Elephas maximus indicus: one gene and its partners. The protein of the gene in region 1 interacts with the protein of each later gene in a pairwise test. Links are inferred from orthologs where the notes say so. Each region holds a gene or a part of one and is shown on either strand. Other genes may lie near its edges. The genes, in order: MIF4GD, ATP-dependent RNA helicase DDX19A and EIF3G.

What was found.
Region 2: the proteins of MIF4GD (region 1) and ATP-dependent RNA helicase DDX19A interact in binary tests that used the Homo sapiens proteins (3 or more experiments, as listed by UniProt). The two-hybrid records come from large-scale screens. The link is inferred for Elephas maximus indicus from reciprocal best matches to the Homo sapiens genes MIF4GD and DDX19A.
Region 3: the proteins of MIF4GD (region 1) and EIF3G interact in binary tests that used the Homo sapiens proteins (3 or more experiments, as listed by UniProt). The link is inferred for Elephas maximus indicus from reciprocal best matches to the Homo sapiens genes MIF4GD and EIF3G.

What each region holds. Positions count from the first base shown.
Region 1 is NC_064837.1:65,598,742-65,605,663, forward strand, and holds the start of MIF4GD (MIF4G domain-containing protein), read right to left. Parts: upstream 3,101-6,922; 5' UTR 3,018-3,100; intron 2,149-3,017; 5' UTR 2,106-2,148; coding exon 2,018-2,105; intron 863-2,017; coding exon 753-862; intron 568-752; coding exon 412-567; intron 300-411; coding exon 207-299; intron 1-206. UniProt on the Homo sapiens protein: Functions in replication-dependent translation of histone mRNAs which differ from other eukaryotic mRNAs in that they do not end with a poly-A tail but a stem-loop. May participate in circularizing those mRNAs specifically enhancing their translation.
Region 2 is NC_064839.1:40,154,211-40,161,584, reverse strand, and holds the start of ATP-dependent RNA helicase DDX19A, read left to right. Parts: upstream 1-4,331; 5' UTR 4,332-4,416; coding exon 4,417-4,473; intron 4,474-6,814; coding exon 6,815-6,863; intron 6,864-7,374. UniProt on the Homo sapiens protein: ATP-dependent RNA helicase involved in mRNA export from the nucleus.
Region 3 is NC_064821.1:28,258,970-28,267,058, forward strand, and holds the start of EIF3G (eukaryotic translation initiation factor 3 subunit G), read right to left. Parts: upstream 3,102-8,089; 5' UTR 3,028-3,101; coding exon 3,008-3,027; intron 2,870-3,007; coding exon 2,823-2,869; intron 2,273-2,822; coding exon 2,189-2,272; intron 2,112-2,188; coding exon 1,987-2,111; intron 1,837-1,986; coding exon 1,777-1,836; intron 298-1,776; coding exon 193-297; intron 100-192; coding exon 1-99. UniProt on the Homo sapiens protein: RNA-binding component of the eukaryotic translation initiation factor 3 (eIF-3) complex, which is required for several steps in the initiation of protein synthesis.

The DNA of each region.
Region 1 (6,922 bases):
GAAGGAAGTCTCTGAGCTGGAAGCATTGGTTGCTGTCTGTTCTGGATAAATTCCACACCTGGCACTGTGACAGGCCTTGAATACCCCCAGCAGGCACCTGCCCCAGGAAGTGGTGCCCTCAAAAGCCTCCATGGACAGTGAGCTGGCTCTCTGAGCTGTGCCAGACTGCCCAACTCTGCAGCCCTCAGCTGTACCTGGCCACCCACCTCCTCCTCTTTGTTCAGGCTGTCAGGCTGAGCCAGCCGGAAGAGGCAGTCGTAGACGGGGTTCACCAGGGCCATCATGGGCATGTTGTTCACCTTGAGGGGGGAGAGGGGTCAGAGCACCAGGCTGAGTGGCAGTGGGGAGCAGGCCAGCCTGGGCTTTGGGAGATGGGCTGTCTGTGACCCAAGGTGGCTACTGGGGCCTCACCCTCAGGTAGTCAAAGATGTTGCAGATGAAGGTGACATAGCAGACCCAGCCCTGCAGGGAGCGGGCTCGCAGCTGCTCCCGAGCCTGGTACTCCTGCTGCAGCCGGTTGAGGAGTCCACGTCGGAAGACACTCTGGCCTGCTTGCTTGCTCTCTGCCTGTGAGCCATGGAAAGGCTGGTGAGCAGCAGGGGGAGGTGCCATCCCAGCCCCTACCCAAGCACCCTTGGTTCAGGGCCCACCTGCCCCATCTTTGAGTCTGTCTCTGCCCTGCTGCTGGCCAGGCTTCTGCCCACTCCTGGAGCACCTTCCCCAGAACATCTCCCCTTTACAACCCCTCCAACCTGGATGATGGCGTAGCACATGCGTCCCGCTTCCTTGCTGAACACACAGTCCTGCAGGGAATGGTCCACAATCACATTGGCCACTTTCTCCAAGTTCACAGCACCTGGATCTAGAGGCAGAGAGAGGAGGGTTGTCCTTGTTGGGTGCTGTCGAGTCCGACTCAGTGACCTCCGCCTATTTATCACAGTCACCTCCACCTTCTAGAAAGGACGTGAGAAGCTTACAATAGAGCACACCCATTGTGTGTGTTCCCCACTGACAGGGGTTCCTAGCCAACGACTCCACCATAAGTCAGTTCTGATGTAAGTCGAATACCTCATTTTGTTTTCATTATTATTGCCTTTTATTATCAGTATCTTTATAATCTGATCTTTATTTGTCTTTGGGGGGTTGGCATGAGAATGGTAACCAGCAAATTACATGCTGCAACACTAATAAATGTTACTAAAGATAACATGTACAAAAAAAAAAGGATGGTTGTAGGCGCAGTCAGTTGTAACTCAAATATGTCATAAGTCGGGGACTACCTGCATATACTTAAATTTAAAGAGATCTGAAAACATAAAGAGAGGGGGACAATAGGCATACATAGAAGCAGATACTGAAATTGGGCTCTAGCTTTGAGCTTCCTGGTTGCCCAAAGAAAAACCTGGAAGGGTTATGTGGTTTTTCTAGACTAGTGTTTCAGGACCCACATTTTTTCCTGACACTAGGCTGAGGAAGGCGTTCCATGTTCATTTTACAAGGGACACTGAATAGCGATGTCTTAACAGCAATTCCATGGGAGGAAGTATTCTTGTTAAGAGCAGCTGCGTAGTGCTTGGCACGTGATGGGCATTGCTAATTGTTAGCCGAGTCTAACAGGAGTTTAACTATGTCTCCTCTGCCAAGCAGAATACATCATCCTCTGTCCCAAGGCAGGCAGCTCTGCACATTAAAGAGAGCTGGCTGCAGCCAAGCAGAAACCAGGACCACAAATGTAAGGGCTTAAAATGCAGAAACTATGTGTTCTCTGGGCCCTACACCCCTTCCATGGGTACTTTTTAAAAAAGGCTTTGCAGTCTGAAAGGGGAGTCTGTGACTCACACTCCCAAATACCGGTCTACATGGAGCCTGTCCTCCAGTTCAGGAGTTACGTTGCTAACTCCCGCTCTCAGCAGACAAAGGGAACAGGCTGGGCAATCCCGTTCCCTGCGTGCCCTCAGCTCAGGCCTCTGGTCCTGCTCCCGCCTGGCCCCTTCTCAGACGGGGCTCCCCTCTTCACCTTTGAGTGCTGTCTTCAGCAGCTGCTGGGTCTCTGCATCAAAAGACTGGATTTTATACTCCTCTCTACTGGGCTCCCCCATGACCATCCGGCCCAGCAGCTCTTCACTGGCATTGGACTACTGAGGGCACCTGGGGAGAAGGCAAAGTGAAGGGAGATGACTCAGGTGTGGGGTGTGTTTCCAGTGCTGCAGACCCTGGTGGGGCTGGCCAGGGATTGGGACAGGTGCTTCTGAGCCAGCCATGGCACTTGGAGGCTGGCTGAGAGCCACCAAGCTTGGCATTTTGGTGGAGACAGGACACCAGCCAGACACCTGCTGCTCAGTTTAGGAAACTCCAGGTTTGAGCGATTAAAGACAAGGGCGAATGAGGCTACGCTACAGTCCCAGCAGGAAGGCAGGGTTTATTCCCAGCTGACAGGACAGCAGGTTGAGGCTGTGTGCTGAGCTGGGAGAGTGGCTAGGTGGGTATCGGAGACTTCTGCCCGCCTCTGAACAGACTTGCCTGGCCTTATGTAAACCGGCCTGGAAACTGCTGGCACAGCACGATTTCGGGCAAGAGTTGGTGCTGGGGGCTCCAAGCTGCGGACCCTCAGCTCCAGCAGGGTTCCAAGCCCCTCTTCCCAACCCTCCCTCGGCTTCCATGTGAGTCCTTTTCAGTCCACCAAACCCATCCCTCCAGCCCTCAGGTGGGTGCAGGAGCCTTCTCTGCCGCCCCTGAGCCCGAGCTCCCACGGCTGGCCAGAGTCTCCCCAGGGACGAACTGGCTAAACCGGCGCAACCCACCCAGGGCTCCTAACTCCTGAGCTCCATTCTGAATCCTTCCCCTTAAGCAAGGGAGCGGGATGTGCCCACCGAGAGGGAGCCCGGGTGGGGTCCCCTCCCGGAGTTGGTGTCGCTCTCCCCTCAGGTCAGAGGAGGCGAGCCTTAGGGGTCTCCAGACAGCTGCCGCTTTCCCAAACCCCGAACGCCCTTCCCGGCGCCGCGAGTACCGGGACCCACCTGCCGGAGCGGCGCCGCGCCCGCGTGCCCGGGAACCGCTCGGCGGGCACGGCGCGCGCGCCCGCGGACGCGGCGCAGCCGGTGCGGCCGGCGCGCCTCGCCGCCGCTTAGGTCATTTCCTAGTGCGGCGGGCCTGGGAAGGGGCGGAGCCTGGGAGGGGCCGGGCCCAAGGGGCGGGGCCGAGGAGCCACGCCGGCACCGCCTGCCGGAACCCCGAGGACGCGTCTGTCGCAGCCCGGCCCGCCCCGAGGGCCGGATTCCGGGGCGTGGGGCTGACTCGGACGCTGCGCGCAACGTCGCGACACTGCCACCGCCCCAGAATGAGCTCACTCTGCCCCTGTCCCCTCCTCACCCACTAAGCCCCGTCCCCGCGTGGGACCACAACGGCTCGTAGGCGCTGGGCTGCACCTGCTTCCTGGCCTGCTTGAAACCTTCGGGCTTAACATGGGCACCCCTCCGTTCCCCACGCCGGGGTTCAGGTTAATAGGGTCAAAAAGGAGACGCGGGCGTGCCGCACAGGGTGGGAGAAGCCTGGAGAGGGCGCGGTCCAGCCAGAGTGGAGGGGAGGGTGGGCTGGAAGGCTGGAGGGGCAGGATCATCACACGTGAGAGGCCAGGGTCCCCACTCTTACTCCCATGGCAGAGGAGACGCAGGGGGCCGTTGAGGCTGGATCAAATTCCACTATCCCCCTCTTCTACTCTAAGTACTAAGGAATCTGGTAAAATAAGTTTAAAATCAAGTGGGCAGTCCAAGAAATGGGTCACAATTGTTAGTGTATGCCAGGCAGGGTGTTGGAAGCGACCTGGAAGTTGAGCAAGCCCCCTGACTCGGTCTTTCTTGACTGGGGCTGAGAGGCTGGCTGACCACGCAGCCCAAGAACTGCACCGTGTTGTGTTCCCCGTCCTCCCGCCCCTCCCCAGGCTGCCCAGGGAGGTCGACTTCAGGTTGTGGGCACCCAGAGGATGGCAGAACTACTGCCTTCTCCGTCGGCTTGGACAAGAGGGGGTGTGCATGGCAGCTGCTTGTTGCCAAAGTTCTCCCCTCCTTTTACAAAGAGTCCCCAAAGCGGTTACTTGGAAAAGGCTGGGGCAGAGAACTCTCATCTACAGCATAAAAAAAACTGAGAATAAACTTTACTGCAATAGACTCACTCTGGAATTTCATAAGAAACACACGCAGGCAGCCGCCTCCTGCAGTCAGAGGCCCAAGCCTTAAACACCCCTCCAGCAGCCAAGGCAAGGCAAGCCAAGGGCAGAGGAGACGTCTGTGTCCAGGACCCAGGCACACCACAAACGCCAGACCAGGCCAGGGGGCAATAACAGTATGAGAAGGGGCCCAGGACCAGAGCCAGACACCCACCTCCACCTGCTCCTGGCAGGGGTCTTCCTCAGCAACTAGTCAGGGCAAAGGCTGGAGCAAGAGCCCGGAGCGAGGGCAGGCTCCCCACTCAGGCTGGGTTAAGGCCTGGTTAGGAGTCCACTTGCTCCTCCATCCTAGCTCCACTGTTGAAGCCAGCTAGCAGGCTGGAGGGAAGGGGGCTGGTGAGCAAGGATGGAAACGTGGTGGTTGTGTTGTGGATTTTCTTCTCCTCTCATACCCCTAACTGAAGTGTCTCCTCTGTGTCTAGATAAACATCTCTTGGGGCTCCTGCTGCTGACAACCCCTCCTGGGCACTAAATGGGTCCTCTCAGGGCTGGCTGGCTGCCCAACCCCTTCCTCCGGCCATCCCTTTCACTGGGCTGCTTCAGACTCGTGGCCTTTTGGGGTCACAAAGTTGGGGTCTACATACAGTGCCATGCTCTGAGCCAAGGAGGGGCACCCCAATGCTAGCTGGGCCAGCTGTGAACTCCCACTTGCCCCGGAGGGCTGGCCCAGCACCCAGTAAAAGGAGGGCAGACCAAGGTAGACAGGGGCTAGGGCTGCCACCTTTCTCCTCTCCTCCTCCCCATCGGCACCCCCTTTCCCCAACTTACCACCTTCACCTGGCAATCTCCCTGCAGCACTAAAGCAGAGCTTGCTGAGGGCTGCAGCTGTGGAGAAGAATGGAGCTGGGGAGGGCAGTGTCCCTTCCCTCACACTGTGAGAAGGGGTGTGATTTGTGTGGAAAAGCGGAGGGGTAAGATAAGGAATGGCATCACATTCATCGTCAAAAGACCATTTCAAGATCTATCCTGAAGTACAATGGTGTCAGTGATAGGATGATATCCATACCCAACAAGGAAGACCAGTTAATACAGACTATTACTCAAATTTACTCACCAACCATGAACTCCAAAGATGAAGAAATTTAAGATTTTTACCAACTTCTGCAGTCTGAAATTGATTAAACATGCAATCAAGATGCATCAATAATTACTGGTGATTGGAATACAAAAGTTGGAAACAAGAAGGCTTGGTAGTTGGAAAATATGGCCTTAGTGACAGAAATGACGCTGTAGAGGGCATGATGGAGTTTTGGAAGACCAACAACTTACTCATTGCAAATACCTTTTTTCAACAACATAAATGGCGGCTAGACACTTGGACCTTGCTGGATGGAATACACAGGAATCAAATTGACTACATCTGTGGAAAGACGATGGAGAAGCTCAATATCATCAGTCAGAACAAGGCCAAAGAATGACTGCAGAACACCATCAATTGCCCATATGCAAGCTCAAGTTGAAGAAAATTAGAACAAGCCCACGAGAGTCAAAGTTAACTATGAGTATATCCCACCTGAATTTAGAGACCATCTCAAGAACAGATTTGAAGCATTGAACACTAATAGGCCAGATGAGTTGTCAGATGACATCAAGGACATTACGCAAGAAGCAAAAGGTCATGAAAAGGACAGGAAAGAAAGAAAAGATCAAAAGGGATATCAGAAGAGACTGTGAAACTTGCTCTTGAATGTAGAGTAGCTAAAGCAAACAAAAGAAATGATCACGTAAAAGAGCTGAACAAAAAATTTCAAAGGGCAGCTTGAGAAGACAAAGTATCAAAATGAAATGTGCAAAGACCTGGAGATAGAAAACCAAAATGGAAGAAAATGCTCAGCATTTCTCAAGCTGAATGAACTAAAGAAAAAAATCAAGTCTTGAGTTGCAATAATGAAAGAGTCTATGGGCAAAATATTGAATGATGCAGAATGCATCAAAAGAAGATGTACAGTCATTGTACCAAAAAGAAGTGGTCCATGGTTAGCCATTTCAGGAGGTAGCATATGATCAAGAATCAATGATACTGAAGGCACTGGCGAAAAACAAGGCTCCAGGAATTGACAGAATATCCACTGAGATGTTTCAACAAATGGATGCAACACTGAAAACGCTCACTTGTCTATGCCAAGAAATTTGGAAGACCAGATACCTGGCCAACAGACTGGAAGAGATCCATATTCAAGCCCAATCTAAAGAAAGGTGATTCAATGGTGTTATGGATTGTGTCACCCAAAAATGTGTATCAGCTTAGCTCTAGGCAATGATTCCCAGTATTGTGTGGTTGTCCACCATTTTGTGACCTGATGTGATTATCCTATGTGTTGTAAATCCTAACCTCTATGATGTTAATAAGACAGGATTAGAGGCAGTTATGTTAATGAGGCAGGACTCAATCTATAAGATTAGGTTGTATCTTGAGTCAATCTCTTGAGATACAAAAGAGAGAATCGAGCAGAGAAGGACCTCATTACCATCAAGCAAGAAAAACCAAGAGTGGAGCATGTCCTTTGGTCAGGGTCCTTGCCCTCACAAGCTCCTAGACTGATGACAAGAAACTGATATAGAGAGAAAGCCTTCCCCTCAAGCTGGCACCCTGAATTCAGACTTCTAGCCTCCTAAGCTGTGAGAGAATAAACTTCCGTTTGATTAAGCCATTCACTTGTGGTATTTCTGTTACAGCTGCACTAGAGAAATAATACAAAC
Region 2 (7,374 bases), on another chromosome or scaffold:
ACAGGCAAGGTCCCTGACCACGAGACTCACATTTGAGTGATGAAGACAACAAACATTATGAGATCAGCAAATTCTGTACACGACGCAGTTCAATGTACCATGCTCACTCAACTGGGGTCTCAGGCTGCTTTCTGGCCCAAAGGGTCAGTTGGATCCAGCCTGGAGAAGGGCTGTCACCTTCTGATGATTGGCTGGGTGGCTGGCCTGGAGCAGTGGCTGGGAGGGAGGCCCAAGGCCACGAGAGACCAGGAGAGCACTGTGAGGGTTCTTTCTCAAGAGTTCGTCTTCTAGTGGGGAAAGTCAAAAAGTAAACTGGAAGGAGGCAAGTAAGATGATTTTTGATGGTATCCAGATGTTCACCGAACTGTCACCAATTAATAGGGAAGGGGTGGGGGCCTTAGGTAATTTATATGCTCTTGATGCACTATTATACCACAATTAAATGAGTAAATTATGACATAAAAAATACATATTCATATAATAAAAAGATGAAAATTGAAATTGTATGTATACTTTGTTTAGGATTATGTACAATACCCGTGCTATTGATGCATATGAACAAAGAATAGAAGGACCCAGAAGAAAAGGAAACACTAGTGTGGGTGTGAGTGTGGGTGTGTGTTCACTGGAGTGGTGAAATTGTTAGGTGCTATTGAGTCATTCTGGACTCACAGCAACCCCATGGTAGAATAACTGGGGGTTTAAGGGTTTTGTCTCTTTCCACTGATGTAGTTGATTTGATTCCTGTGTATTCCATCCAGTGAGGTTCACATGTATAGTCACCATTTATGTCGTTGAAAAAAGGTAATTACAATGAAGAAACTGATGGTCTTGCAAAATTCTGTCATGCGATCTCTGGTAGCGTTTCTATCATCAAGGCCATATTTTCCAGCTACTGATCTTCATTTCCAACTTTGCTTTCCAATCACCAGTAATTATCAAAGCATTTTGATTGCACGTTTGGTCAATTTCAGACTGCAGAAGTTGGTAAAAATCTTCAATTTCTTCATCTTTGGCATTAGTGGTTGGTGTGTAAATTTGAATAATAGCCACAATTAGTAACTGGTCTTACTTGTAGGCGTGTGGATATTACTCCTATCACTGACAGCATTGAACTTCAGGATAGATATTGAAACGTTCTTTTTGACGAGGATTGTGATGCCATTCCTCTAAAATTTGTCATTCCTGGCATAGCAGACCATATGACTGATTCAAAATGGCCAATACCAGTCCATTTCAGCTCACTAATGCCTAGGATATTGATCTTTATGCATTCCATTTCATTTTTGACAACTTCTAATTTTCTTAGATTCGTATGTCATACATTCCACATTCTGACTATTGATGGATGTTTGCAGCTGTTTCTTCTCATTTTGAGTCATGCCACCTCAGCAAATGAAGGTCCCAAAAACTTTACTCCATCCACGTCATCAAGGTCAACTCTAAGGAGGCTGCTCTCCCCCAGTCGTCTTCTGAGTGACTTCTAAGCTGAGAAGATCATATTCTGGCACTATATCACACAATATTCTGCTGCTATACATAAGGTTTTCACTGGCCAATTTTTTCAGAACTGTCAAGTCTTTCTTTCTAGTCTGTCTTAGTCTAGAGGCTGCACTGAAACCTGTCCACCACTGGTGACTCTGCTGGTATTTGAAATACTGGTGGCATAGCTTCCAGCATCACAGCACAACAAACTAAGCCACCACAGTACAACAAACTGACAGAACAAGGCCAGGGGCTGACTTCAGAACAGACCATCAATTGCTCATATGCAAGTTCAAGTTAAACTCAAGAAAATTAAAACAAGTCCACCAGAATCAAAATAGGGCCTTGAGTATATCCCCCCTGAATTTAGAGACTATCTCAAGAATAGATTTGTTGCACACAACACTAATGACGGAAGACCAGACGAGTTGTGGAATAACATCAAGAACATCATACATGAAGAATGCAAGAGGTCGTTAAAAAGACAGGAAAGAAAGAAAACAGAATGGATATCAGAAGAGACTCTGAAACTTGCTCTTGAACCTCAAGTAGCTAAAGCGAACAAAAGAAATGATGAAGAGCTGAACAGGAGATTTGAAAAGGCAGCTTGAGAAGACAAAGTATTATAATGAAATGTGCAAAAACCTAAAGTTAGAAAACCAAAAGGAAACAACATGCTCGGCATTTCTCAAGGAGAACTGAAGAAAAAATTCCAGCCTCGACTTACAGTATTACAGAATTGTATGGACAAAATACTGAATGATGCAGGAAGCATCAAAAGAAGACAGAAGGAATACAGACTCACTGTACCAAAAAGAACTGGTGGATGTTCAACCATTCAGGAGGTAGCATATGACCAAGAACTCATGGTATGGAAGGAAGAAGTCCAAGCTGCACTCAAGGCACTGGCAAAAAAGAAGGCTCCAGGAATTGATGGAATACCAAATGAGATGTTTCAACAAACTGATGCAGTGCTGGGAGTGCTCACTCATCTATGCCAAGAAATTTGGAAGGCAGCTACCTGGCCAGCCAACTGGAAGAGATCCATATTTGTGTCCTTTCCAAAGAAAGGCAATCCAATAGATGGCAGAAATTATCAAACAATATCATACACAAGTAAAATTTTGCTGAAGATAATTCAAAAGCAGTTGCAGTATGTTGACAGAGAACTGCCAGAAATTCCAGCCAGATTCAGAAGGGGATGTGGAACCATGGGTATTATTGTTGATATCAGATGGATCTTGGCTGAAAGCAGAGAATACCAGAAAAACCTTTACCTGTGTTTTATTGACTATGCAAAGGCATTTGACTGTGTGGATCATAACAAATTCTGGATAACATTATGAAGAATGCGAATTCCAGAACACTTAATTGTGCTCATGATGAATCTGTACATAAACCAAGAGGCAGTAGTTCGACAAGAACAAGAGGATACTGCGTGGTTTAAAATCAAGAAAAGTGTGTGTTAGGGTTGTATCCTTTCATCACACTTATTCAATCTGTATCCTAAGCAACTAATCCAAGAAGCTGGACTATATGAAGAAGAACACAGCATATGGTTTGGGGTAAGACTCATTAACAACCTTCCATATGCAGATGATACAATCTTGCTTGCTGCAGGTGAAGAGGACTTGAAGCACTTACTGATGAAAATCAAAGACTACAGTCTTCAGTATGGATTACACCTCAACATAAAACAAAAATCCTCACAACTGGACCAATAAGCAACAGAGAAAAGACTGTGGTTGTCAAGTTTTCCTTTTACTTGGATCCACAATCAACACCCATGGAAGCAGCAGTCAAGAAATCAAAGGAGACATTGCACTGGGCAAATCTGTGAAAGACTTTTAAAGTGTTGAAAAGCAAAGATGTCACTTTGGGGACTAACGTTCATCTGACTCAAGCCATGGTATTTTCAGTCACCTTATATGCATGCGAAAGCCAGACAATGAATAAGGTAGACCGAAGAAGAACTGACGCCTTTGAATTATGGTGTTGGTGAAGAATACTGAAAATACTACGGACTGCCAGAAGAAGGAACGCATCTGTCTTGGAGAAGGTACAGCCAGAATACTCCCTAGAAACGAGGATGGGAAGACTTCGTCTCACGTATTTTCGACATGCCCTGGAGAAGGACATCATACTTGGTAGAGGATCAGCGAAAGAGAGGAAGACCTTCAACAAGAGGGACTGAAACAGTGGCTGCATGATGGGCTCTAGCATAGCGTAGCAAAGTGTTTTATTACATGGGGTCGCTGACTCCACAAGAGGGTTTTGTTTTCTTAGACATTACCGTTCTTGACAACAGGAACTGGCATCATACAGTATTCTTCACGGGCCTTTTCTTTGTACGGAGCCACTCAACGGCAACTGGTTTGGGTTTTTTGCTGCGACACTCAGGCTGCTAACCAAAAGGTCGGGGCTCCAATCCATCAGCAGCTACTAGGAAACCATATTGGGGCAGTTCTATTCTGTCCTATAGGGTCGCTATAAGTCGGAACGGACTTGAAGGCAACGGTTTTTCTTTATACAGGCTTTCTGGTTCACAGAAGCGCACGTACATATTTAATATGACACGCGGTAAGTTACAAATAAAACGAGTTATTTCAGTGTGAAGTAAGGTAGTGAAGTGAGGGCAAAACAGTTTTACTTTGAAGAACTTACGGATTTAAGGCACTACGAGGCAGGAGCAGGGAACTACAAATACAACGCGGGAGGTTTAACCACGCCGGAATAGGGCTGAAACACAGGGCCGGCGCGACGTGGCGCCGAATGGTGACGTTTTCGCACCTGACGGATCGGACGTCATTCTCGCGCGCCTCCGCTTCCGGCCCGTGTGAGTGACGTTTTCGTGCCGGCGACAGAGTCTGGCCGGTGTTGTCTCGTGGTCTTCAGTATCTTTCCTCGTGTCCACCTCCTGCCCCCGGCACCATGGCCACCGACTCCTGGGCTCTGGCGGTTGACGAGCAAGAAGCAGCTGTCAAGTCGGTCAGTGGATTCTGCTCAAAGGGGCAAGAACGTAGCAGAGGCCCAGGTGGACCTGGGCTCGAGGCCCAGAGAGAGGGAGTGGTAGAGCAGGCCTTTGGCCAGCACGACCTGCACTGCTGCCGTGGGGAATAACTGCGCCCTAAATTTGCTTCTGGAAACCCTGGTGGCTTAGTGGTTAAGAGCTACTTCTGGTAATAAAAAGGTCGGCAGTTCGAATCCTCCTGGCGCTCCTTGGAAACTCTACGGGGCAGTTCTACTCTGTCTTATAGGGTCACTGAGTCGAGTCAACTCGATGGCAGTGGGTTTGGTTTTAATTTGCCTCTGGGGCTAAAAAGACCAACATTGAGCTTTTGATCATCATCTAATCCAGTTAAAGACTTGTTGTTGTTAGATGCCATCTATTCGTAGCGACCCCATGTGACAGAATAGAACTGCCCCATAGGATTTTCTTGGCTATAATTTTTATGGGAGCAGATAACCCGGTCTTTTCCCCGCGGACCTCCAACCTTCAGGTTAACAGCGCAGCGCAAATATCTCTTCACTGTATATTATTACCATTCCTGTGTTGCACCTGTTTCCCAGTGGCGTTTGTAAACAAAGGCAAATGTAGATGGTCATTCTGTTTCATTGAAATAACACATTTACAGGTTTAGATTTAATGTCTCAGTGTACTGTAAAGGTAAGATAAAGTTTAGATTTGTTTAGAGACAATGGACTGTTGGTAGTGACAATATAGACTATTTACTGAAGACTTTTCCTGTAGTCTGAAGCCTTCTGTAGCTTTTTTTTTTTTTAATCTACTCAGTGTATTTTTTCATTGTACTTCAGATGAAGGTTTACAAAGCAAATTAGTTTCTTTAAACAGTTAATACACATTGTTTTGTGACATTGGTTGCCAACTCCACTACATGTCAACACTCTCCCCTTCTCAACCTTGGGTTTCCCATTACTAGCTTTCCTGTTCCCTCTTGCTTTCTTGTCCTTGCCCCTGGGCTGGTATGCCCATCTAGTCTGATTTTGTTTTATTAGCTGTCTGATCTTTGGCTGAATTCTATAACTTTTTAATGCCTAAATTACGTTTCTTCTCCAGCTATGCTTTGTTGATTTGGGAGTACTATCAGTTCATCAGCAGATAAATAAAATGGGTTAAACCTGGTGGAGTATAGGAAGAAGCTTTATAGTCTTAGCCAGGAAGACTACAATGTGGGAAGTGCTATGAAAGAAGTAAGAACAACATCTTAAATGACCTCTGAAGAGGGAGAGGACATTTATGAGTGGGAAAATGCTGGAAATTTCTTGTGAAGAAACTTATATTTGAGCTGGATTTTAGAGATCGAGTCATATTTAAGATAGAGATGACGGCGAAAGACATTTTAGGAGGAGAAAATGTGCCAAAGTGCTGGACTTGCCTAGAGAACAGGAATCAAATAATTTTGGCTGCAACTTAAGGTGATTGGTTTGGAGTGGGGCAGTATAGAAAATATCGCAGGGAGTATACTTTAGACCTTGACTAAAAACTGAAGGAGAGGGGGCTTTATTTAGTAGGCTTGTGGTCCAGGGCTTGATTTGAGTATTCCTCAGAACCCGACAACATACCTTTACAATACCATCTGAATATCACACTTTACTCTTCCAATATAGAAAAATAGTTCTCATGACAGTGGAGAGTTGTTTGCAAATTTATGAATTATTGCTCTGCTTGCAACTTAGCAAGTTTGTATTGACTAGGAGTACGTGGCCAGGAGTAAAGGAGAAATCATTTTGTTCAAGCTTCTGTAAGATTTTTAAATCAGGAACTTGGGTTTGTCAATACTTTCATTATAAAAAATAAGTTTCTCCCTAATTTATAATCTAGGAGGTTGATAAGACAAGAAAGAGGGCTGTAATTTATTTGCTGAGTGTTGCCTGAATACAGCATGGGTTTTAGGGGTTAAAAAAAAAAAACCAAACTTATGAGATATTTACATCGTATCATTCTTTACCTAGAAACAAGCTGTGTTTGTGCCTTTGAAAGTTTATATTTGATATATGTTTATTGAAGGTTAGATGTCCTGGGAAGAGCATGAGTTGGGAGAAGAGCAGAGGTTTGAGATTGCTGACATACTTTTTCTTCCTACTATTACATTTAGTTTGCCCTTCCCCCTGTTTTTTAGGCTGTAGAAGAGATTTGAAATGATGTTTACACCCAGTCAATTCTACATCAAGCAAAACAAACCTGGCCCCTGAAGATGGGTGTTGAAGTAGCTCCTGCTAGGCTTTTACTAGAGACCTCCCCTGTGCCCAAAAGTCTTCCTTTAACTGGGTCACTTGCTTAACTCTACTTCCTTTCATTCCCATTCAGCTGAGCAGCTTGCAGATCAAGGAAGAGAAAATCAAACCAGATACCAATGGTGAGTGAGTAGTAACTACAAGCCAGGCACAAGCTACACATGTGCTTCTGTTTTGCACTCATTGCTGCAGTGTGAATAGGAGTTTTCACTTAGCCCAACATTTGGTAAATGATTAGAGAGCACTGGATTAGAGAGCCAGTAAATTAGGCTTAATTACTGAAAGGGATGTGTGATGTTTTCCAGATTTGATCCAGCCTCTCATTCCTTAAATCCAACAATCAGCACTGGAGTATACTGCTACTCTTTACTGGAGATGGTTTCTTTGGAAAATTATTTTTGTTTAATTTTTTGAAAGATAATTTGGGTCCAAAACTCAAAGTATAAAAAGTTGAAAGCCCTTCTTCCCATTGTGGTCCCTCATTTACCGAGGTCCCACTCCCCACCCCATCCCATAAGTAATCACTGTTATTTGTCTTATTAATATTCTTTTGAAGTTTCTTTAAGCAAAAGAAATATAAATATAGATTTATATTCCCATTTTCTTTCTCACAATTAGCAAACTGTTTGCTAA
Region 3 (8,089 bases), on another chromosome or scaffold:
GCGGGTGGTCCAGTGGTCACCCTTGCAGATGCGGCAGGACACGATCTTCTGGCCCTTTAGCTTGTTCATTGGGTCCTCCTCCTCCTGGCAGTTCAGGTCCTGGCAGGGGTAGAGGGAGACAACTCAGAGGGTGGCTGTCATACCCCTGCCACCACCACTCTGTGCACCAGCCCCATTCTGTTGCCCACTTACCTCTTTGCTGGTGATGAACGTCATGGAGACGTCGTCGCTGACTGTGGTGGTAGCCACATTGGGCCCTGGTGGGTCAAACTCTGAGTTCCCAAACTTCTTCCAGTTCTGGGCTCAGGGCAGGATGGGAGACAGGTCAGCGGTCCTACACTGGCAGCCAGCCCTAGAACACCTACCCCCAGGGAATCTGGGCCTTGAACCCCCCATTCTCCATCCCCCCAAGTGCCCTCCCCATGGCAATAACAACAGTTCCTATTTCCTGAGTGCATGCCAGCCCCTGGCATCACACTAGCTCCAGGAGGCAGGCGCAGCTCTCAGCCCCATGTTCCAGACGATAAAAACAGAAGCTCCGACTGGGAAAGAGCTGCAGAGCAGACAAGTCCTGCTGGGGCCTGGGTGGGCTGGTGGACTTCAAACTCGCTCATGCTGGGGAGCGGCAGCACTCAAAAATGGTTCAGAGCAGGGGGGAAGGGGCCAGGTGTCACCCAGGCCACGAGGGGCCTTGAGCTAGTTAACCTGAGCCTTAGCTTCCTGCCCTATAAATTGGGGACCACAAATGGTTGCTATGGGGACCAAAGAAAAAAATACTCCCCGGAAGAATGAAGAAAACTAAAGACACAAGGGAAAAATTAGTCCAAAGGACTAATGGACCACATCTACCACAGCCTCCACTAGACTGAGTCCAGTACAACTAGATGGTGTCCAGCTACCATCACTGATTGCTCTGACAGGGATCACAATAGAGGGTGCTGGAGAGAGCTGGAGAAAAATGTAGAACAAAATTCTAACTCATAAAAAAGGCCAGACTTACTGGCCTGATACAGGCTGAAGAAACTCTGAGAGTATGGCCCCCAGATACCTTTTTAGCTCAGTAATGAAGTCATTTCCAAGGTTCACCCCTTCAGCCAAAGATGAGGCAGGCCCATAAAACAAAACAAGACTAAAGGGGCACAACAGCCCAGGGGCAAGGACTAGAAGACAGGAGGGGACAGGAAAGCTGGTAATAGGGAACCTAAGGTTGAGAAGGGAGAGTGTTGACATATCATGACATTGTTAACTAATGTCATAAAACAATATGTGTACTATTTAATGAAAAACTAGTTAGGTCTGTAAACCTTCACCTAAAATTAAAAAAAAAAAAAATTCTTTCTGAATGAAAAACTATCTTGAGCTGTAAAATTTTACCTGAAGCACAATAAAAAAAGAAAAAGAAAAAAATGCTCCCTGCAAAGCACTTGGCATGGAGTCTAACACAGAGAAAGTGCTCAGAAAATCGTATTTATTGTTATCACTTCTTCCAGAAGCACTTTGTCTAGTAAACAGGAGATGCTTTGACCACCTCAGAGAATGGCTTGGCTCTTTTCCTCCAGGTAGACAAGCCAAAAGGAATAAAAATCTAACCACACCCCCTCCTGCTCCCTGGACTTTTCAAGGCCCCAAGTGAGTGCAAACACTCCTAGGCCTCAGTTCTGCTTCAGTAAAAACAATTAAACCCCACCACAGGAAGCAAAGGCACTGGGAAAAAGGTCTCCCAGTCCCTCTGGATCAGGCCTGACGTAGCTCCAAAGACGGGGAGGAGGGTCTCACCTTCCTCCTCGCGACAGCCTTTGAGGCCTTCCGGGTCTCAATCCTGAAGGTGCGTACAATCTGTGGACAGCAAGGTAGAGGGCTGGATTTCTTGTGTCCCAAGGCTCCTGGGGCCAGAGGATCTTCCTCACCAACCCTGTCCCCATACACCACCTTATCCCAGTCCATGTCCCCAACCACTAGGGCACCCAACCCCTCCCCCAGCCTCACCTTCAACTTCTTGCCATCCTCATCTATCTTGTACTCAGTCACTGTCTTGATGTTTCCATTAATGACCTCCTTAGGAGGCGGCAGTGGAGCTGGGAGAGAGGAGGAGTGGTGAGGGGAGCCAAGCCCTGGGAAACGGAGACCAGGATGGGCAGGGAGTTCTGAAGGGATCCAGTCCAGTAACAGAGTGAAGGTCATCACTCACCTCCTGGCAGAAGCTCAGGCTCTGGGCTGGTGTCACCAGTGGCCAGAGGGATCCCCTTGAGGAGCTCGCTGGTGACGCATTTGTCTGTGAGAGTGTGTAGGGAGGAGGGATCAGTTAGAAGGGTCGAAGCCCCAAGATGAGATGGAAGGGCCTTTGGGATGATACCCATAGCAGGAGCTGAGGAGAGCAGAAAACTGGGCAAGAAGTACCTTAGGGCAGTCGTGCAGGTGCCAGTTGTGTTAACCTCGGGAAGTGGCAGGAGGTAAAGATCCCTGGGCCGGAGTAGAGTCCAGCAACTAAGCCCTACGACCCTGGCATGAAGGTGGAGGCAGGCCAGAAAGACCCCCACGAGCTAGTACAAAGGCTCAGGGGACTGGGTGTGGAGCATGGGAGCAGCTGTGAAGACGCTTGGGCAGTGGCATGGGAGGACGGGGGACTAGCCACAGTGAACACCAGAAGGTGGCAGGAGGCTGGCCTCGATCAGGACGGCGCGGGAGTAGGGGTGGGTCGTGATGCGGAACGTGGGGTCCGACCGCGGTGACACGGGGGCGGAGGGGAGAGGACTGGAGCAGAAGGTAGTGATCGGGCTGGGGGCTGGCAGCGGTAACAGGGCGAGCCGGGTAACAGTACTCACCGTCCTCTCCCTCCTCTTCCACCTGGTCGGCCCAGCTGGGCTTCGAACTGCGGGAACAAGTTTACGGGGGAAGAGTGGGGTCGGCGATGTCGGTCCCCGACGCCTCGGCGCATCCAACCCCCATGAAACTCCCCAGAACCTCCAAGCTGTCCCTCTTGGTCCCCATCCGCGAGCCCCAGACTCACTCAAACTCTCCGGTCGGCATTTCAAACCCTTATCCACGCAGTCCGAACCCGGGCCAGAGAGCGGAAGTGGAAGGAGAACAAGACTTCCGGTTCCGCCGCCTAGAGCAACCCTGCCGCTTCTCCCACAGCGCCTCCTGCGGAAGGAGGCGGAGACGCCGACTGCATGAGCCCCTGGACGGTGGTACCTAGCAGGAGCCAGGCTGGGGCAAAGGCTCATCTCAGGGCTTATCTCATTTACCTGTTAATACAATGAAAAATTTAAATAATAACAACAAAAAAAACATTCATTTAACGTTTACTGTGGGTCAAGCACCGTGAGTAAGAAATTATCATTTCTATTTTGTTGCTGAAAAAAAACAAGGCTTAGAATGGTGAGAGGGCCTTTGCCTTAGACATTCCCTTTGCTTGCGCTGTTCTTCCTTGTCTGGGGAGGGTTTTCCTAACTGGGGTGATTAGGTTTCCTCAACCACTCTTCCTTATTTTCTGTGTAGCAGTCTTAGCTCTCTGATATAATCAGTTTATTTACTTGCTTATCCCTCTAGAATGTGTCTTCTCAACGAAGAAATAGCACCCCCAAGGAGATGAAAATTTGACTCAGGAGTAAAAAGCCTTAGAAATCAAAATGGTTTGTGGCCATATACGGTCGCTATAAGTCGGAATCGACTCGATGGCAATGGGTTTTAAACCCAACTCTACCAGGCAAAATCTTATTCCTAAGTAATTTCTATCGTTGTTAGGTGCCCTTGAGTAGGTTCGGACCTATAGAAACCCTGTGCCATCCTTACAATAGCTTGAGCCCATTGTTGCAGCCACTGTGTCAATCCATCTCGTTGAGGGGCTTCCTTTTTTTTTTTTTGCTGACTTTCTATTTTATCCCTCATTTCTATCATTAGGGATAACTTAAATGTCATTTAAATTGGAAATGATTTAAGTAATTGATTTTAATTAAATTTTAAAATAATTTAACTTTTTTCCATAGTGGATGATAAAGAAAAAAAGGTCAAGAAATGCTGCTCTAGAATTTCACCTACAAAAAGTAGACGTTTCCTTGCTTTGTCCCCCTCTGGCTCCCTGCACCCACCCACAAGGTGTCTGCACATAGTAAGTGCTCTATAATAGGGATTGGGGGACAGGTGGAAACCCAGTCTTAAAGGCCTTCCCAAACTAAGGAGTTTGGGCTTTTTATCCTGTGGGCTGTGGGGTATGGGTGAAGTCAAACTGAGTGCCAGCCCAATGTGAACAAATTTTCTTGTGAGAAAGATTATGCTGGAAGCCTGTGGAGGGTGGATTGGGAGGAAACAAAATATCAGAAGAGGAGGGAGGAGGCTGGGAAAGTGAATCAAAGAAAGAGGGGTGTGTGGGTCCAGCCCTTCAGGAGGGTGATCTGGCCATATGGATGAAGATATAAAGTTTGTACAAAGGGCCAATAAACACTTGTAGAAACTTACTCAAATTTACTCCAAGAAATGCAAAATCCAAACAACGCAGGAGATGGGCAAAACTTTTTAAATGCGATATTATGCAGTGGTGGTAAAGGAAACAGACACTCACACACAATTGGCGGTGGGGATGAAAATATGCAAGCTCTTTGGAGTGCATACATCTGTCCATCCACATGACAACATCTCTCAAAACTTAAAAAGGCACATATGCATTTTCCTTTCAGCCAGTTAATAATTCAACTCATGAGTAAATTTCGTAAAAGCACGCGAAGATGCACGAACAAGATGTCTGTGCAGAATTGTTCATGATGGCAAAAACTGGAAACGCCTATGTGTCCACCCATAACATAAAAGCCCATAGGGGCTGGTTAAATAGATTGTGATACACTAGCCATAATCTATGAAATGCTGGGTAGTCTTTAAAGAGGCAGATACATTTGTGTTCGTGTAAAAACAAATCTCTGAGACAAGGAGGGTGGGGACAAGATGTAGAATGGCTTATGTTACATGATCCAATTTCTATAATTCTTTAATAGGACATAGATATGCAAGTATATGCAAACCACTTTCTGGAAGGAAATTTCAGAAACTGTCGCTGAGGGATGCTTTTGGAGGAAGGCAGCAGGGGAGGAAAGCTTACTTTTGCACTTTTCTGCTGTATTTAGACTTTTTACCATGTGTATATACTGCTTTGGTTTAAATACAAATAATTATATACATGAATGTAAAATTATTTATTTTATATACTTAATATATTAATATGGAGCCCTGGTGGAACAGTGGTTAAGGGCTCAGCTGCTAACCTAAAGGTCAGATGGTTTGAATCCACCATCTGCTCCTTGGAAACCCTATGGGGCAGTTCTGCTCTGTCCTGTAGGGTCGCTATGAGTTGGAATTGACTCGACGGCAATGCTCTTGTTTTTGTATATATTAATTATATATATTAATATAAAGTGGCATGAAAGGTTTGCACTCGACAGTTCGAAACCACTCAGCGGTGCTGTGAAAGAAAGGCTTGGGGATCTACTTTCATAAATATTACAGCCACAAAAATCCTGCAGAGAAGCTCTACTCTGGGTCTACATGGTGTCACTATGAGTTGGAATTGACTCAACAGCAACAAGTTTATATACATATATACACACATACACATATATATGTGGGGCCTTGGTGGTGCAGTGGTTAAGTGTTTGGCTGCTAACCAAAAGGCCAGCAGTTCAAATCCATCAGTTGCTCCTTGGAAACCCTATGGGGCAGTTCTACTCTGTCCTGTAGCATTGCTGTGAGTCAGAATTGACTGAACAGCAACGGGTTTGGTTTTTTAATATTAATATATATTTATGTAATATATACATGAGGTAATATATTTTTTTATATATTTTGTGTATCCACATCTTGCATTCTCCGGTCAGGGATGACCTAAGGAAATATGCACGCAGTGCATTAAATTGCCCATAAGAGGATGTTCAACACAGAGTGGCTTAAAGGATTGGAAAATTGAAAACTTTCCAAGCATCATTAATAAGGAACTAGTTAAATGTTGGCCCATCCATACAAGCACCACCCCTGGAGGTAAAATTGTGTGCATCTGTGGATACACAGAGTTGCCTGGTGGCACAATGGTTAAGAGCTTGGCTGCTAACCAAAAGGTTGACAGTTCTAATCCATCAGCCACTCCTTGGAAACCCTATGGGACAGCTCTACTTTGTCCTATAGGATCATTATGAATTGGAATCGACTCGATGGCAACGGGTCTAGAGTTGTCTAGAAGTAGCTAGCCACTGAACATGGGTGCTATCCGGGTGTTTTGTGACTTAATTTTTTTTTTTAAGTATTTTAGGCATACAGAAAAGTATTAGGCAACAAATCACTATAAAAGGAATCAAACATTACAAGTGCAGTTGAAGCTCCTTCTGCCACCCTCCATTGTCACATTTACCTCACGTTACCTTCCCAATGAATAACATTGCTAAGACTGGGAATTCTAAAACGCTTTAATTGTGCTCATGCGGAACCTGTACGTGGACCAACAAGCAATTGTTCGAACAGAACAAAGGGATACTGCTTGCTTTAAAATTGGGAAAGGTGTGTGTCAGGGCTGTATCCTTTCCTCATGCCTATTCAGTCTGTATGCTGAGCAGATAATCCTAGAAGCTGGACTATTTGAAGAAGAACAGGGCATCAGGATTACATTAACAACCTGCCATATGCAGACGAAGCAACCTTGCTCACTGAAAGCAAAGAGGACTTGAAGCACTACTTTGAAGGTCAAAGACTAGAGCCTTCAGTATGGATTACACCTCAACATAGATAAAACAAAAATCTTCACAACTGGGCCAATAAGCAACATCATGATAAATGGAGAGAAGATTGAAGTTGTTAAGGATTTCATTTTACTTGGATCCGCAATCAACGCCCATGGAAGCAGCAGTCAAGAAATCAAACGATGTATTGCACTGGATAAATGGGCTGCAAAAGACCTCTGTAAGGTGTTCAAAAGCAAAGATGTCACTTTGAGGACTAAGGTGTGCCTGACCCAAGCCATGGTACTTTCAGTCGCCTCATATGCATGCAAAAGCTGGATAATGAATAAAGAAGACTGAAGAAGAATTGAGGCATTTGAATTATGGTGTTGGCAAAGAATATTGAATATACCACAGACTGCCAGAAGAGTAAACAAATCTGTCTTGGAAGAAGTATAGCCAGAATGCTCCTTAGAAGCAAGAGTGATGAAACTTTGTCTCATGTACTTTGGACATGTTATGATGAGGGACCAGTCCCTGGAGAAGAGCATCATGCTTGGTAAGGTAGAGGGTCAGGGAAAAGGAGGAAGACCCTCAATGACATAGTGGCTGCAACAATGGGCTCAAGCATAATGATTGTGAGGGTGGTGCAGGACTGGGCAGTGTTTTGTTCTGTTGTACACAGGGTCACTCTGAGTTGGAAGCGACTCACAGCACCTAACAACAACACCCTCGAGAAGTAACCACCCCCTGAATTTGGGCTTTGCCACGCTCATGCATATGCTTTCTCTTTTTATTGCATTTGCACGCACTTCCACTTTTCTATTTTATTTTAACCTCGTATAGTATTTCAAGGAGCCCTGGTGGCAACAGTTAAGCGCTCGGCTGCAAACTAAAAGGTCAGTGGTTTGAACTAACCAGCTGCTCCATGGGAGAAAGATGTGGCAATCTGCTTCCATAAAGATTATAGCCTTGGAAACCCTAGGGGTAGTTCTACTCTGTCCTATAGGGCCACTGTGAGTTGGGATTGACTCGACAACAACATTTTTTAATTTTTTAAATAGTGTTCCAAGGAGTCCCAACTAGTTTGGATTTTTTTTTTTGTAGTGTTCTGTGGAGTTCCTGGGTGGTGCAAACAATTAAGCACTCAGCTGCTGACTGAAAGGTTGGTGGTTAGAATTCACACAGAGGTACCCTGGAAGAAAGGTCTGGCAATCTACTTCTGAAAAATCAGCAATTGGAAACTCTATGGCTCATGGTGCCCAGCTATCATTACTGAACATTTTGATCAAAGATTCTATAGAAGAATCCTGATTGAAAGGGGGGAGGGAAATGCATAACAGAATTTAAAATTCTCATGGAATCTAGATTTTCTGGAGCCATTGAGGCTGGGTGAA